Rattus norvegicus: one gene and its partners. The protein of the gene in region 2 interacts with the protein of the main gene of each other region in a pairwise test. Links are inferred from orthologs where the notes say so. Each region holds a gene or a part of one and is shown on either strand. Other genes may lie near its edges.

Region 1 (4,567 bases), on a different chromosome or scaffold from region 2:
TCTGATTTGCTCCCAATAAACTTGTTACAGCTCAGTCTTGCTGTGTTCCCTCCAACCTGACCTGGTCAAGATCCCTTTCTCAGAGGCCCCGCCAGGTAACCTGGGCCCAGTAAGTAAACGCTGGTGCATGCAGGCGTGGACTTCTGTGAGAACTCCTGGAGGCAGCAGACAGCGCTGGCACGGGCGCCCCACGGTCTGCAGGCCCCATTCACTCTAGTCCCTAATGTCCGACAACAGGCTTCTGACTAAACTCTGTGCATCGCTGCTCTGGCACCTGACTAGGACAAGCAAAAGAAGGAAGCCGGTAGATATGTCCGACCTCTGAGAACCAGTCACCACAGTGCCTAACTCTGCCCAGGGCCCTGGGGAACGCACCTAAGTCAGTGTTGTGGCTTGAAAGCAGCTGGCGGAACTTTTCGAGGCGGGTTTTCTCCCGGACTGTCATTGGAGGGGCCCCAGAAGCATTCTGGTCTGAGATCCGGGCGACGAGGGGGATGATGGGCCGGAGAGGGAGAGACTGTTGTTTGTGGAGTGTGTTCCTCAGGCACGTGTCACCTGAAGGGATTTGAAAAGGAGAAAGACCTACATAGGAAGGTCGCCGTCAGATGCCCCAGGTCTGCGCAGACTGTGCAGTGCTTTCTCCGGGGCGGGACCTGAGCCTGTGGCACTCCTGAGGCTGGAGCTGAGAAACAGTGAGACAATGAGGTCCGCAGGGCTCTGCTTCCAAACAGAGGGACTGCACCTGTACCACAGAGGGCAACTGTGGCCAGCTGACCCCAGATGTCGCTGTGACTTCTAAGAATGTACGTGGTAACACCAAGGGAGACGAAACTTTCTATCCTACCCTGGATCTTAAGCTGCCTTAACCTGGTGAGTGCGGTAGCCACAGAGCTAAAGCAGAGTGTGGAGGGCTAGGCCGTGACAGCTAAAGCAGAGTGTGGAGGGCTAGGCCGTGGCCCTGTGTACAACCCTCTGGCTAGGCACATGGCTGCCCTCACAGCCAGGCTCAACCTTGGCCTGCACTTGGCCCACAGGAGCCCTTCAAGGTGTATAGGAAGCTCTGGCCTCAGGCAACCCCGTGCCAAGTAGCCAGCTCCTCTGCTCCATGTTCCTCACACAAATGAAGCAGCTTTGAATTCTGCTGCTACCACCAAAGCAGGGGAAGCTGGACTCTGTTCCACTGTAGATGGTCTAACTCAGCTGGTGCCTGCCACCTAGAGGGGGCCGTGCCCGCCATTTCAGCATGAGCTCCCATGATCCCTTACGACACCTGCTAAAAGTTTTAGTGACTTTACAGAAGAACAAAGTCAGCCTAGGAACTTGAGAAACTGGGGCGGTGGAGGGGGGCCTCCAGGCTGTCTGACTCCAGCGCCCTTCAGAATGAGCTGCCACAAAGAAAACTGTTTCAGGGACTGCCCTGCTAGGGCTGGGTCATGTTCCTCAATACCTAAAATGAATATATTCCACAGGCCAGCACTGCAGAAGCTTGCGACAGCCGCCATAAGGCACCTGACTGGGATGCCTACGGTGACAAGTGGGGCTGAGAAAATGCAGAATGCATGCAATAAACTTAGGCAGATGGGCATCTCCGGCATCAGCTGTTTACAGGCAGATGTGCAGAAGGAACCTCCACAGGGGGACACGTGGGGGGCCTGGCTGCACAGGGCAGCCTGCAGGGATCGAGGCAGGGGCCTTCCTGACATTGAGAACCTCATCCATAGCTTAGGCCACCTGGCCAATCAGTGCTGAATGCCTGTCTGAGACTGGCACTGTGGGTTCAAGCTGGGCCCGTCTCAGTAGACACACAGGGGGGAATCTCAGTGAAGACTCCACGGCCAAACTGCATGGCCTTGTGTGAGGTCTGAGGCTGTTGAAGAAACTTAGGGAAGCTGAGGTAGGATCCTCTGAGGCTCTGACATCCTCTGTCCTTTATGCCCATGGCCTGTGAGCTTATTAACTGTAGCTAGGATGAGGGAGGGCACTTCCCTGCCCAGGTCGGAGTGGCCGGTTTATTTGTAAAGCAACACTAGTGGGTCCTTAAAAATGTACACAGAAAGTGCCCAGACATCTAAAGTCACCATCTCCCTCAGCAGGAACTGAGGCCAGCTTCCCAAATTAGAAAAACAAAACAAAACCTGCAGGGCTGCAGGGCGGGCTGATGTCAGGGGCTCTGACCTGGTCCCTCAGTACACGCTGTTTGCATCACAGAAATGGGAAAAGGGCCTCCTGAGGTGGGCGGCCACTCCCCAGGGCTGAGGAGGCGGACTATTTGTGAATTCATTCCCTGGCACCTTTAAACACATCTAGTATTTGTAAACCTGCCCAGGCCTAGAGCAACGGGAAATGTGTGGCTGCCACTGCAGGGAAAGGGACAAGGGGGAGAGTGTTGGCGAAGGCCATAGGGAAGGGCGGGGACAGCCAGTGTGCTGGCGTCAGACCTTTGGCTGAGTGTTTTTGTTTTTGTGCATCCTCCTGCCATAGAAGATCTGGGCAGGAGGGAACTCTTCTCTGTAGCCGAGCTCCACTGAGAGGATACAGAAGGGCAGGATGGACTCACTGGAATTTCGGGACAGCTGGGCGTCACTGCTGGACTTTATGACCTTGTAGTTGGCAGGGACGTCCGATGTTGTCGACTGCGACCGTTCCGGTTTCACCCTCAGCTTGCTGTGGTTTTCCAGGACTTGGGCTGCAGTGGCCAAAGCCACTTTCGAGTTCAGGGTTTGGAGAGACGGTGAGGAAAGGTCCTCTTCCTCATCATCGCCAATGTCCCAAGCGTCACTGGTATTCCGGGCAAACTCGTGGAAACTGGAGGCCTTCTTGTTCTTCAGAGGAACTGAGTTGACTTTCGACCGTTCTTTGATGAAGCTTCAAGAGAGGGGACGGCACTGCTGAGCAGGGTGACATGCCTGACCACCTTCATTAGCATTTGGCATACAGTATCATAACTCACAACCACCAACACACCCGTCCATCTTCAGAGAACGCCACCCCCAGCCGCTGCTCTCGAGGAGCAGACAGAGGAGCAGAGAGCCGGGCTTATCGGGCTTATCGGCTCCCACGCACTCTCTTACTTCCTGGCACTCTTGAACTCAGGTGAAACCACCTGACCAGTTTGAGCTAAGGGAAGTGAGGGAGCCACACCATGCTGACAGCTGCCCCATGGCCCATCCTGCTCACCGTGACCTGCAAGGTTCCAGGCTCAGGGCTTCCCTCTGCCTGAGTCACTGAGCGACTAGGTGGACCACAGCTTGCCTTCCATTTGCCTGCCCTCCTCCATGTTGGACACACATAAGCAAGAACCAAGCCTTAACCGTAGACTACTGAGGTGTCAAGGTTGATCCGCTAGGCCAGTGGGAGCCAGAGTAGCCATCAGAGTAGAATGTTAGGTACTGTTGGGCGCTGGGTGACGTTAACTGTCCATGCATATGGCACTGAGTCTCAAAATGAAAAGCCCCCTCTTGGGCTGGAGAGGTGGCTCAGTGGTTAGGGGCACTGAATGCTCTTCCAGAGGTCCTGAGTTCAATTCCCAGCAACCACATGGGGGCTCACAACCATCTGTAAAGAGATCCGATGCCCTCTTCTGGTGTGTCTGAAGACAGCAACAGTGTACTTATATATAATAAATGAATAAATCTTTAAAAAAAAAAAAAGAAAAAAGAAAAGCCCCCTCTTTTTAACTCTGCCAGCCGAGAGAAAAAAAGTCTGAGCTTGGTGATTCTCTCCCAGACTTCACAGAGAGAAGCAGCCACCTGAGAGTCTACAGTATACAATACGTGGAACTGGACCACAAAGGGGTAAAAACATCACTAAAACCCTCCCTCCACTTATCTCCCTGGCAGCAAGGCAAGGCTGCAGTGGACAGCAGAGCAGGCTGTGCCTAAAGGGCCCCCATTTCTAAGGCCTTCTACCCAGAGGATCCAACACTTCTGACCTCCTTAGACACCTATACTTATGAGCACATAACACCATATATGACCGACAGACGGACACACACACGCACACACACAGACACACAAAATTTAAAAAACAAATAATACATCCTTGGGTCTATCGAGATGGCTGGGTGGTGAGAGCACTGGCTGCCCTTGAGGGTTCAGTTCCCAGCACCCACACAGTGGCTCCCGAGCCTCTGTAACTCCAGTTCAGGGCTCTGTTGCCCTCTCTGGCCTCCCTAGCCACCAAGCACAAAAAATATGGTGTGCACATGTATTCATGTAGGAGGCAAACACTCATACACGGAAAAATAAATCTTCAGGGCTGGAGAGATGGCTCAGTGGTTAAGAACACTGACTGCTCTTCCAGAGGTCCTGAGTTCAAATCCCAGCAACCACATGGTGGCTCACAACCATCTGTAATGGGATCCGATGCCCTCTTCTGGTGTGTCTGAAGACAGCGACAGTGTACTCACATGCATAAAATAAATAAATAAACATTAAAAAAAAATCTTCAGAAAATGGATCGAAAAAACAAAGTCCAGAAGGCAGTAAAAATCTTCAAGAAACACACTAAGGGACACATTTGCCTAAGACTCAGCGAAGGACACTTTGACAAGGAGTGGCCACCGGTT
Region 2 (5,164 bases):
AATTTGTGTTTGTGGCTTCCCCTTGGACTTTGGCTGTGGTCCTGTGGACGGGCTGCAGCCCATGCTCCAGTCCTGCTGCCTCTGTCCTTCACGATACTTCACGCAGGGCGATCCTCTTATCTCTTGTTCTTAGCACAGGGACATGAAATGTGACGGGGACAGACCTCGCAGGATATGTCATTTAGCCCCTCTGTGCTTGGCATCCTCTCTGTATCCCTCCTTATCTTTTCTTTCTTACCCATGTGGGGTCACAGCCTAGGAACGAACCGTCAAACCTCTCTGTACTCACTGGGAGAAAGGCTAAAGAATATCAATAATAAAAAAAAAAAAGCTTTGTCCAATTCCGGTGTGTGTGGGATAGAAAGAGACCAATGACTAGCTCTCATGCCTGGGATGAGGCTGGCATGGTGAGTACTGTGGTCACTGTGGAGCTGGGAGTCAATGATGCCCAGAGCCTGATGGTGGTGGCTTTGGCAGTGTCCTATGACCTCTCTGCAGAGCGATTCGCTTGGGTACAAATAACTTTCCAAGATGCAGAATTTTTCCAGTCAGATCCATTTCTCAAAACTTTTTTTTTCTTTTTCTTTATGTGTGTCTGTGTGAGCATCTGCATGCATGTGTCCGTGTAAATGTCTATGTGCACGTGTCTGTGAGCCCATGAAGGGCGCTGAGTCTCTTGGAGTTACTATTACAGATGGGTATGAGTGCTGGGATTTGAACTCCAGTCCTCATGATTGAACAGCAGGCTCTCCCGGTCACTGAGGCATCACCAGTCTATGCTTGTTTCAGGTTTAAGCAAATTTAGCATCCTTGCAATGGACTAATGTAGTTGTGGACCAGAATCACACGCTCTCACGTCATAATCCTAAGGCAGGTCTGGGCCTGGTACAGCAGCCACCTCTTGCCTTTGAGCTGCTCTCCTAGGATGATGCCACAAGGGCGAGCCAAGGGCTGGTGACGTAGCCCAGTTAGCAGAATGCTTCTCCAGCATGCTTGAGACCCCGAGTTGACCCCCAGCACCACATAAATGGGGATAATGGTGCTTTCCCCTCAACCCAGCACATCGGATGTAGAGGCAAGAGGATCAGGAGTTCAAGGTCATCCATGGCGAGAATGAGTTCAAAGCTAGCCTGTCCTACTCAAGAACCTGTCTTTAATAAGGGAGAAGGAAGAGATTGTTCTCTGGGGAAAGCCACTTGTCACCAGTTCTGAGGACCTGAGTTGGATTTCTGGCACATGCTGCAGAAAAAGAATTTTCTTTTGTCCTGTGACTTCCACTTGTGCTCCAGGTTGCACCCACCATTCCCCCTAAGTAAATAAGTGTAGGGTTGCTTTTTTATATAAAGGCTGGGCAAGAACAAATACGGGGCAGACATATGGAACAAGATGTTCTCTCTCTCTCTCTCTGGTCTGCCGTTCCACTTCTGAATCATGGAGGAGGGCCGGGTCACTGGCTAAGCCTGTAGAGGAAGCGATGACGCAGTCTACAGGTCTGTCCAGGTCTTGCCCCCCACCTGGGCCCAGGTATGGCACCTCTCCCACAGGCTAGTTTACACTGCGTTTCTGTTTGGAAGAAGGTCCCAAGCCAGAGCACGGAGACCAGTGTTCGGAGGAGCCTTTTCAGTGACAGCGATAGAGCCCCACACGCCACTGGCCACCCATTCCTGACAGTCATGGCCACTCAGTCTGGGACAGCTGTGTCTCGCCTTACATGAGCTAAATTGGGAACTGGAATGTCACAGCGGTGCCCCTGTGTCCCCACCCCCACAGTAACATTAGTCTCTCTCGGGAGGAACAAACAGTGCTGCCCGCAGAGCGAGCAAGAGGGTGGTTTGGGGAGACAGGAGGAGAATCTCACAGGGAGAGAGAGATAAACTACAAGTGCCTGGTGAGGGTTCCGAGCAGACAGAGTGTCTGGAAATAGCCCAGGGAGAGAGGAGCTGTTAGAGGAAGGGACAGGAAGCACCGCTCTTTCCAGAGGGAGCAATATCAGGGATCCCAAGAATCTACAGTCAGCCTAAACTGACAGCGGAAGGGCGCGCAGGCAGGGGGAGAGAAGGCCAGCAACAGGGCCACAGCAAGGCACCAGAGCACCGCGGGATGAACTTCACGGTGGGTTTCAAGCCGCTGCTGGGGGATGCACACAACATGGACAACCTGGAGAAGCAGCTCATCTGCCCCATCTGCCTGGAGATGTTCTCCAAGCCCGTGGTGATCTTGCCGTGCCAACACAACCTGTGCCGCAAGTGTGCCAACGACGTCTTCCAGGTGGGCTGGGACAGGTGGGGGACGGTGGGGGACAGGTGGGGGTCGGTGGGGGACAGGTGGGGGACAGGTGGGGGATGGTGGGGGACAGGTGGGGGTCGGTGGGGGACAGGTGGGGGACAGGTGGGGGACAAGTGGGGGATGGTGGGGGACGGTGGGGGACGGTGGGAGTCGGTGGGGGACAGGTGGGGGACAGGTGGGGGATGGTGGGGGACAGGTGGGGGGTGGTGGGGGACAGGTGGGGGATGGTGGGGGACAGGTGGGGGATGGTGGGGGACAGGTGGGGGATGGTGGGGGTCGGTGGGGGACGGTGGGGGACAGGTGGGGGACAGGTGGCGGATGGTGGGGGAGAGCCCACCCCTGGGAGCCGGTGAAACTGCCCTGGCTGAGAGGCAGGAGAGTTGAGGGTCCCAGAGTAAGGTCCCAGAGTAAGGTCCCAGAGTCAGCATGAGTCAGCAGCTACCCTGAGGCTGGTAAGCATAACCTGTGTCTACAGCAACTAGAAAGTGGGGTCCACCCAGCACAGCAGAAACTGGAAAGGAAGATCGATGGTCTCGCATGGGCTTAGTGGGAGCTTGGACTAGATTTCATTCATTTTGAGGCTTTTATATGTATATGTATATACATATACATATACAAACACACACACATATGAGAGAGAGAGATAAATTTTTTTAAACAAACTCTGGAGAAAAGATCAAGGATATATTGAGATCTTTCTCTCTCTCTCTCTCTCTCTCTCTCTCTCTGTGTGTGTGTGTGTGTGTGTGTGTGTGTGTGTGTTAGCTAGTGTGGCTACCAGACCTCAACTTGAGTTTGATTCCCAAAACATAAATGATGGAAAGAGAGAACTGACTCACAAAAGTTGACCTCTGACCTTCACTTATATGAACACAGACAGACAGGCGCACACACACACACACACACACACACACACACACACACTTTAAACAATAACCTGGTGTGGTGGTGTATGTATGCCTGTAATTCGAGCACTTGGGAGGCTAAAACAAGGGGATTGTCATTGTTTGGTTTTGTTTCTGAGTCAGGGTCTCTGTAACCCTGGCGGCTGTCCTGAAGCTCACTATTCAAACCGGGCTGACCTTGAACTCACAGAAGATCCTCTTGCCTCTGCCTCTCTCGTACTGGGATTAGAGACATCGCTGCCATGCTAGCAAGTGTCACCTTATTTACATAGTGAATTCTGATCCAACTTGGGCAACAAAACAAGACCGTTTCAAAAAGTAAATAAGAAAGAGAAAACTAAAATTAAAAATTGTTGGGGCTGGGGATTTAGCTCAGTGGTAGAGCGCTTACCTAGCAAGCACAAGGCCCTGGGTTCAGTCCCCAGCTCCGAAAAAAAGAACCAAAAAAAAAAAAAAAAATTGTTGGTAAACCGGTGAGAAATCCTTCCATACCAACAGAACTGTGTGTATTTGAGGCAGAGCCCTCTGTCCCTGAGGGGTCTGATAAGACACAGTGGGCCACAGCAGGAACATTCTCTCCAGTTTCACACCGGTGATCCTTCCTGACCTAGTAGGAGATAAATGGTATCCAGGCGACTTACAGACAGACAGACAGACAGACAGACAGACGGCAGAAACAAAATTGTACTTCCCAGAAATGCCTGGGTGTCTGTGGTCATGAGGCCAAGCATAACTAGGTGAAGTCACAGCACTATTTTATCTACACATCTCCAACGCAAAAACAGAAGAGCTGAGCACGGCTGCAAACCCAGCCCTTGGGAGGTTAAGGCTGGCTTGGGCTGCATAAGACGCTGTCTAGCCAACTAACTAACCAACTAACTAACTAACCAACTAACTAACTAACCAACTAACTAATCAACTAACTAACCAACCAACCAACTAACCAACCAACTGACTAACTAACTAACCAACTAACTAACCAACTGACTGACTAACTAACCAACTAACTAACTAACCAACTAACTAAATAAATAAACCAGAGTCCTTTATAAGTTCCTAGGCTTGCCTCCTGGCTCTGTGTCTTGGTAGAGGTCTGAGTAGTTTATGACTGCATCAGAGGTCAGGGAGAATGAAGGAACAGAACTCACATGTACAGACACCGGACCTCACAGATGAAGTAACCTGGATTCCTCAGAGCTGGCTCTCCTGGTGGGCAATCTGTGATGGGAACACCAGGAATACACTTCTTGCCAGGAGCCAGCCTGGGATCCAGCGAGGAAGGAGCACCACAGGCTGGAGGCTAGCCTGCTCTATGTAGCAAGTATACCTGTATACCTGTAGAGTAAGACCCGTCTCAAAAGAGGAAAAGATAACTGTCTGGGGCTGAAGAGAGGACTCGGTGGTCAAGAGCATTTGTTGCTCTCCCAACCAACCCAAGTCCAGTTCCCAGCATCCACGTGGTGGCTCGCAACCATCTGTAACTCCAGTTCCAGGGGCTCTGATGCCCCCTTCTGACCCCCATGGACACCATGCATGCAGGCAAAATACATACACACAACATAAATCTTTAAAGTAGAAGAGTAAGAGTTCTCCCTCCTTATCACAGTGTGAGGAAATGAGTTGAGCACAGATTCCCCTCCCCCCTCTTCCTTCCTCTGGTGCTGTGGTTAACCAGGGCCTTGTGTGCATGCATCCTGCCACTGACCTATACCACAAGCCCCATACAGGCTATTGTTTTTAAATATTTATTTGCCATCCATATGTGTGCACATGCCTGTGCATACAGGTGCCCATGGAAGCCAGAAGAGTGTCTTAGGTGCCCTGGGGCTGGAGTTGTAGGTGTTTGTGAGCGATTATGTAGGTATTGGGAACCAGACTCTAGCCCTCTGAAAGAGCAGCGTGTGCTAGCAACTGCCAGGCTGCCTCTCCCACCTCCTCAGTGGATCTTAGCTTCACTGAGATTAGGCCTCCAG
Region 3 (4,567 bases), on a different chromosome or scaffold from region 2:
AAACCTAAGCTAGTTAGAGAGATTATAAAAGCATGAATCCCAATAATCCTTAGATACACAAGAATAAGTAATAGTAATAATAAAATGCACGGAAATGCACACGACCTAGAGATGGAACGCTTTTCAGTGTGTATGAGAGACACGAAGCAGACATGAGCAGACAGGACGGCAGCCTTTGCCCATGGGTAGAAAGACTCAACAACACCAGGAAGTCAGTTTTCCCAGAATTTACTTATAAATACTTTAATAAAAACAATCAAGTATCCAGGAAACACTGATGTTTTAGACTAAAAGCCCTGAGGGCTGTCTTGTATTTATCTCACATTAAATCATTCCACAGAATCCCCATAACTAAAAATGTGATTTATTAACACTTAATAGAGATTAGCAGAACAGACAGAAATCAAGAGACAAACCCAAGTGCACATGGGGATTTAGCGTACGTCATCCTAAGCCTGTGACTGGAGTAGTGACGGGCTCTATGTGAAATGGTCCCAGCCAAGCCTGTGCTCAGTACATCCCTCCTACAGGGAGGTATTTTTGAGAAAGATAACGTGAGACCTTATACCGTCTACATAAAATAAACTCCAGGTTCAAAGGACGAGCAGAAGGAAACAAGCACAAAAGAATCCCTCCATGAACTAGGCAGGCAGGGAGACCACAGTAACAAGAAAGAAAGACTTAGTAAGCCACGCTGTGAAAAAACTTTTAAATATTTGCATGATCAAACATGACTGATAATTCACTTTTTGAATGTACTTTAAAGGAACTCTCTTGTCTCCCAAAATGTGAGCTTAAATCTACCACAAAAGTAATGCCGTTTTACCTAAATAAGCCATTATAGATTGTCACTTGAAAGTGCGGTGGAGGGAAGAGCTTGACATGAGAGTGAGGGGAGCTGTGCTTCACGTCAGTGCTGGCCCCCACTTTATTTACCTTCTTTAGCTTCATGTGCGCTCCGTTGTTGTTTCCCTGAGCCAGGTCTGCCCTGCCCAGGATCCGGTATGTTTCTGCCACCTCAGGACTGAAGTCACCGAACACTCCTATTTTTGCTTCCAGGGACTCTCTCAGGATCATGGCCGCTCTCTGAGAAAAGGACGAAATTTGGTGGTGCGGTTAAAAGTTCAGAGGATTGCTCAGTGCTTAAAGGCACTCGCTGCTGCTGCTGAGGACCCAGGTTCAGCACCCGCAGGTAGCTTGCAAGCTTTGTAACTCCACTTCCCGGGGATCCATTGCCCTGCTCAGGCCTCTGCCAGCATCAGGCGTGCAAGTGATACACAGATACACATGAGGCAAACACTTGTACACATACAAAGATAGAAATAAGGGCCTGGAGAGACGGCTCAGCGGGTAAAAGCACTCTGCTCTTCTGGGGACTGGGGTTCAGTTCCCAGCCCCTACATGGCAGCTCACAACCATCTGTCACTTCAGTTCTAGGGGATCCGACACCTTCACATAGACTTACATGCAAGGCAAAACGCCAATGTACATAGAAAAAAGGAATTATTAAAAAAAAAAAAGAAAGCAATCTTTACAAAAGTTCAGGGATTGAAGTAAGAGCTGTGCCCCTCTCAGGAAAAGTCATGAAGTTGATACACATTTGACATCTCAGAGAAAAGTGTTCTTAAGAATGGGCCACTGTCCTCTGGTTAGATAGGAGGAAGTAAGGACATACTCGGGGAGGGAAAGTACAAAACATGAAGGAAGAAAGCAGCAAGGACACGGCAGCGACAGCTCTCACTAGAACCGGTTCCATTGAGCGGCAAGAGCAGAGCTAGCCTGCATAGAGCCCTGATGTTTTCATGGACTCACTTTATGTGTGATCTGACTTGTTCTTTAGATACATACAGCCTCCACCATCTGACCCAGGAGGAGGCCGGAGCAGCAGCAGAGACCCTCTTTGTTCCTGCAGGGCTCGTCATTGCTGGGGCTGGGACCTGCTCCCCCGGCCTTTTTAGGTGCACACTCGTCTCCCTCCACACTGTTGTTCTCAGACATGAGAAGATGGGGCTGCACTTGTGGGTCATGCTTCCGGACTTTCTGTTCTCAGAGAAGGCTTAGGAAGCCAAAAGTAAACACTCCTCGGGGCATGATAAACCATTTTGTTTGCTTTGTCCTATTTGTTTATGCCAACACGGAATAGAAAAATGTATGTTGGTCAGAAAACAGTATTTCCTGATATTGATTTTTGCAGATACCAAGATACAGAGGGGGAAGTCTGTGAAGTTCCAACAGGTCCCGAAAGTCTCCCCAGATCCTCTACATGAAAACAGTCTCTAAAGACAAAACAAAACAAAACCCCACGGTCAATAACAACATGATTATGACTGCACAACACAAATGCTCAGTTCAATAGCCCAATTAAGGCAGCACGGAAGAAAGGCCTTTGCGTTGCACAGCCCTGGGGGCATGTGCTGACCTGTGCCACAGACAGGCAGAGAGGCGTGAATGAAGAACATGGCCCCATTTGTCAGCAGGAACATGAGTCAGGAACTGGGGCCAGTTCCTTAGGAAAAAAAACTTTTTTTTTGGTTCTTTTTTTTCGGAGCTGGGGACCGAACCCAGGGCCTTGCTCTTCCTAGGCAAACGCTCTACCACTGAGCTAAATCCCCAACCCCAGGCCAGTTCCTTAAACGTGGCGATGAGCAGAAGTCAATTCAGTGTAACTGGCCAAGTATGGTCTGTGAGAGCGCATGAGGGATGGGGGTCTCCATGCGGACCGGCCTGTGCCCCTGCTCCTGACACCTGTGTGCGAGGCCTTAGATGGGTGCGAGAGTTGGGTGAGGTGGCTTCTCCATGGGATTTGACTGTGGAGCTTTGGGAACCCAATCAATGGCAGTGAGACAGGCTCCAGATTCTTTCCCTGAATGAAGCCTTTAGTGCTGTTTCAGTCTGACTAGGAAAACTAGAGATAAGGTTGTGTATCAGAAGGCACATTCTGATGACAGAGGAAAACAGACAGGAAAAACTTAATGGAGAGAACCAAGAACTATTGGGACTTAGAAGAGAAAAGGTTATGGGCTCTGGAATGCCCAGGAGAAGCACGCAGCCTATGTAGGGGCGATTGAGGAGATAACATGGCATGTAGGGAGAAGAGGGAGACTAGGTTGATTAGCTTCTGTCAGGGACAAATGTCTGGATCTTCTCCCAGAATATCTCAGTCTGCAGCAGAGTGGCCTTTACTTACTGTTTACTATAAAAATAATTTCCTTCTAGAGCCTGCCTTGCTGCTAGTGCAAGCTAGCTTGTGGATAGGCCGTAATCACATCTGGGATGGTCTAGGTGCAACCCCATCCTCATTTGTGTCAGGCTCCTTGGGTCAGCCAGCCTAGCCTACTTGGTGACACTTCTGCTACATTCCCTGGTGACAGGGCTGCCAGCCTGGGTAAGGAGCACGAAGCCATCATGTATGGCTGGGCAGTCTGTTTCACTGCAGGGGCGCCCAGCAGGAGAAGGAGAGCTTGGGTCTCTCAACAAGGTACCCGGATTTGTTTCATGCACCTAAGGAAGGGGCAGCTTTTGTATCCTTGCAAGGACATATAAGGGCTGGAAATAGTTCTGGAAGGAAGGAGTCAGGTTGCTACGATTTCCAAGGGCAGTCTGAGAGAGTGAGGCACATCTTTTAATCGAGACTCCCGGTTTCTGTGACTTGGGCAAAGTCAATGAGACATGTTATCAGTGACACTGGGCGTCAGCTGCCTCTGTAGTCAGACAGGAAGGATGGGAACTCATGAGACATGAGTTGTGGGAGTTAGAGTCAGCTGGCCCACAACCAAGCATCCATTCCAAATCTGTTCACTATCTATCGTGAGCAAGAACTCAGCTTGGTTCTACGAACAACATTAAATATCCATGTAAATTTACACTACATATACCTGACTTCACCAATGGGATTCTGTAAGGAGGACTCAGAAGAGTCCAATGTGGGCAAGGGTGTGAAAGCAGAGAGCTGGAGGGCATATTACACTAGCCTGGAATGACGCAGGGAGGGCCTTCCAGGAGGAAATAAAAGAAGAGACCAGCTATAAAGATGTGTATGTGTGTGTGTGCATGAGTGTGTGCATGTGTGTGTGCACGTGCGTGTTTTAGAAAAAGTCAGTATGGGCTGGAGAGATGGCTCAGTCTTTGTACTTTCAAGCACGAGGGTCTGAGTTCAGTCCGTGGAACCCACATAAAAATGCTGGGTGTGGCAGCAGGCACCTGTAATCACAGAACTAGGGAGGCAAAGAGAAATGGATCCCCGGGGCTTGCTGGTCAGCCAGTCTAGCCTACTTGGTGAGTTGCAATACCCTGTCATAAAGGATGTGTCTGGGCTTCCTGAGGATGGCATCTACAGCTTGTCCTCTGGTCTCCACATGTGTGCCCATGCACCTGTACACACACGATTGTGTAAACCCACACCTGCCTTAAGATTTTTAAAAAAGCTTTGATTGCAGGCAATTAGCTTAGGGAAGGAACAAAGTGAGCCTAGAAGTGTGGGGTTTGCCGTGAGGGCATTGCACTCACTGGAGGGCCAACGAGTGTCCATCGATCAGATGCGCTAGACTGAATAGACAGACAAGTGCAA

What was found.
Region 1: the proteins of Trim54 (region 2) and Tbc1d22b interact in binary tests that used the Homo sapiens proteins (3 or more experiments, as listed by UniProt). The link is inferred for Rattus norvegicus from reciprocal best matches to the Homo sapiens genes TRIM54 and TBC1D22B.
Region 3: the proteins of Trim54 (region 2) and Ttc23 interact in binary tests that used the Homo sapiens proteins (3 or more experiments, as listed by UniProt). The two-hybrid records come from large-scale screens. The link is inferred for Rattus norvegicus from reciprocal best matches to the Homo sapiens genes TRIM54 and TTC23.

The regions. Positions count from the first base shown.
Region 1 is NC_086038.1:7,637,328-7,641,894, reverse strand, and holds part of Tbc1d22b (TBC1 domain family member 22B), read right to left. Parts: intron 2,866-4,567; coding exon 2,558-2,865; intron 556-2,557; coding exon 376-555; intron 1-375. UniProt on the Homo sapiens protein: May act as a GTPase-activating protein for Rab family protein(s).
Region 2 is NC_086024.1:30,975,228-30,980,391, reverse strand, and holds the start of Trim54 (tripartite motif-containing protein 54), read left to right. Parts: upstream 1-1,916; 5' UTR 1,917-2,100; coding exon 2,101-2,268; intron 2,269-5,164. UniProt on the Homo sapiens protein: May bind and stabilize microtubules during myotubes formation.
Region 3 is NC_086019.1:130,720,919-130,725,485, reverse strand, and holds part of Ttc23 (tetratricopeptide repeat protein 23), read right to left. Parts: exon of another isoform or gene 1,841-4,567; intron 1,193-1,840; exon of another isoform or gene 1,087-1,192; coding exon 937-1,086; intron 1-936. UniProt on the Homo sapiens protein: Participates positively in the ciliary Hedgehog (Hh) signaling.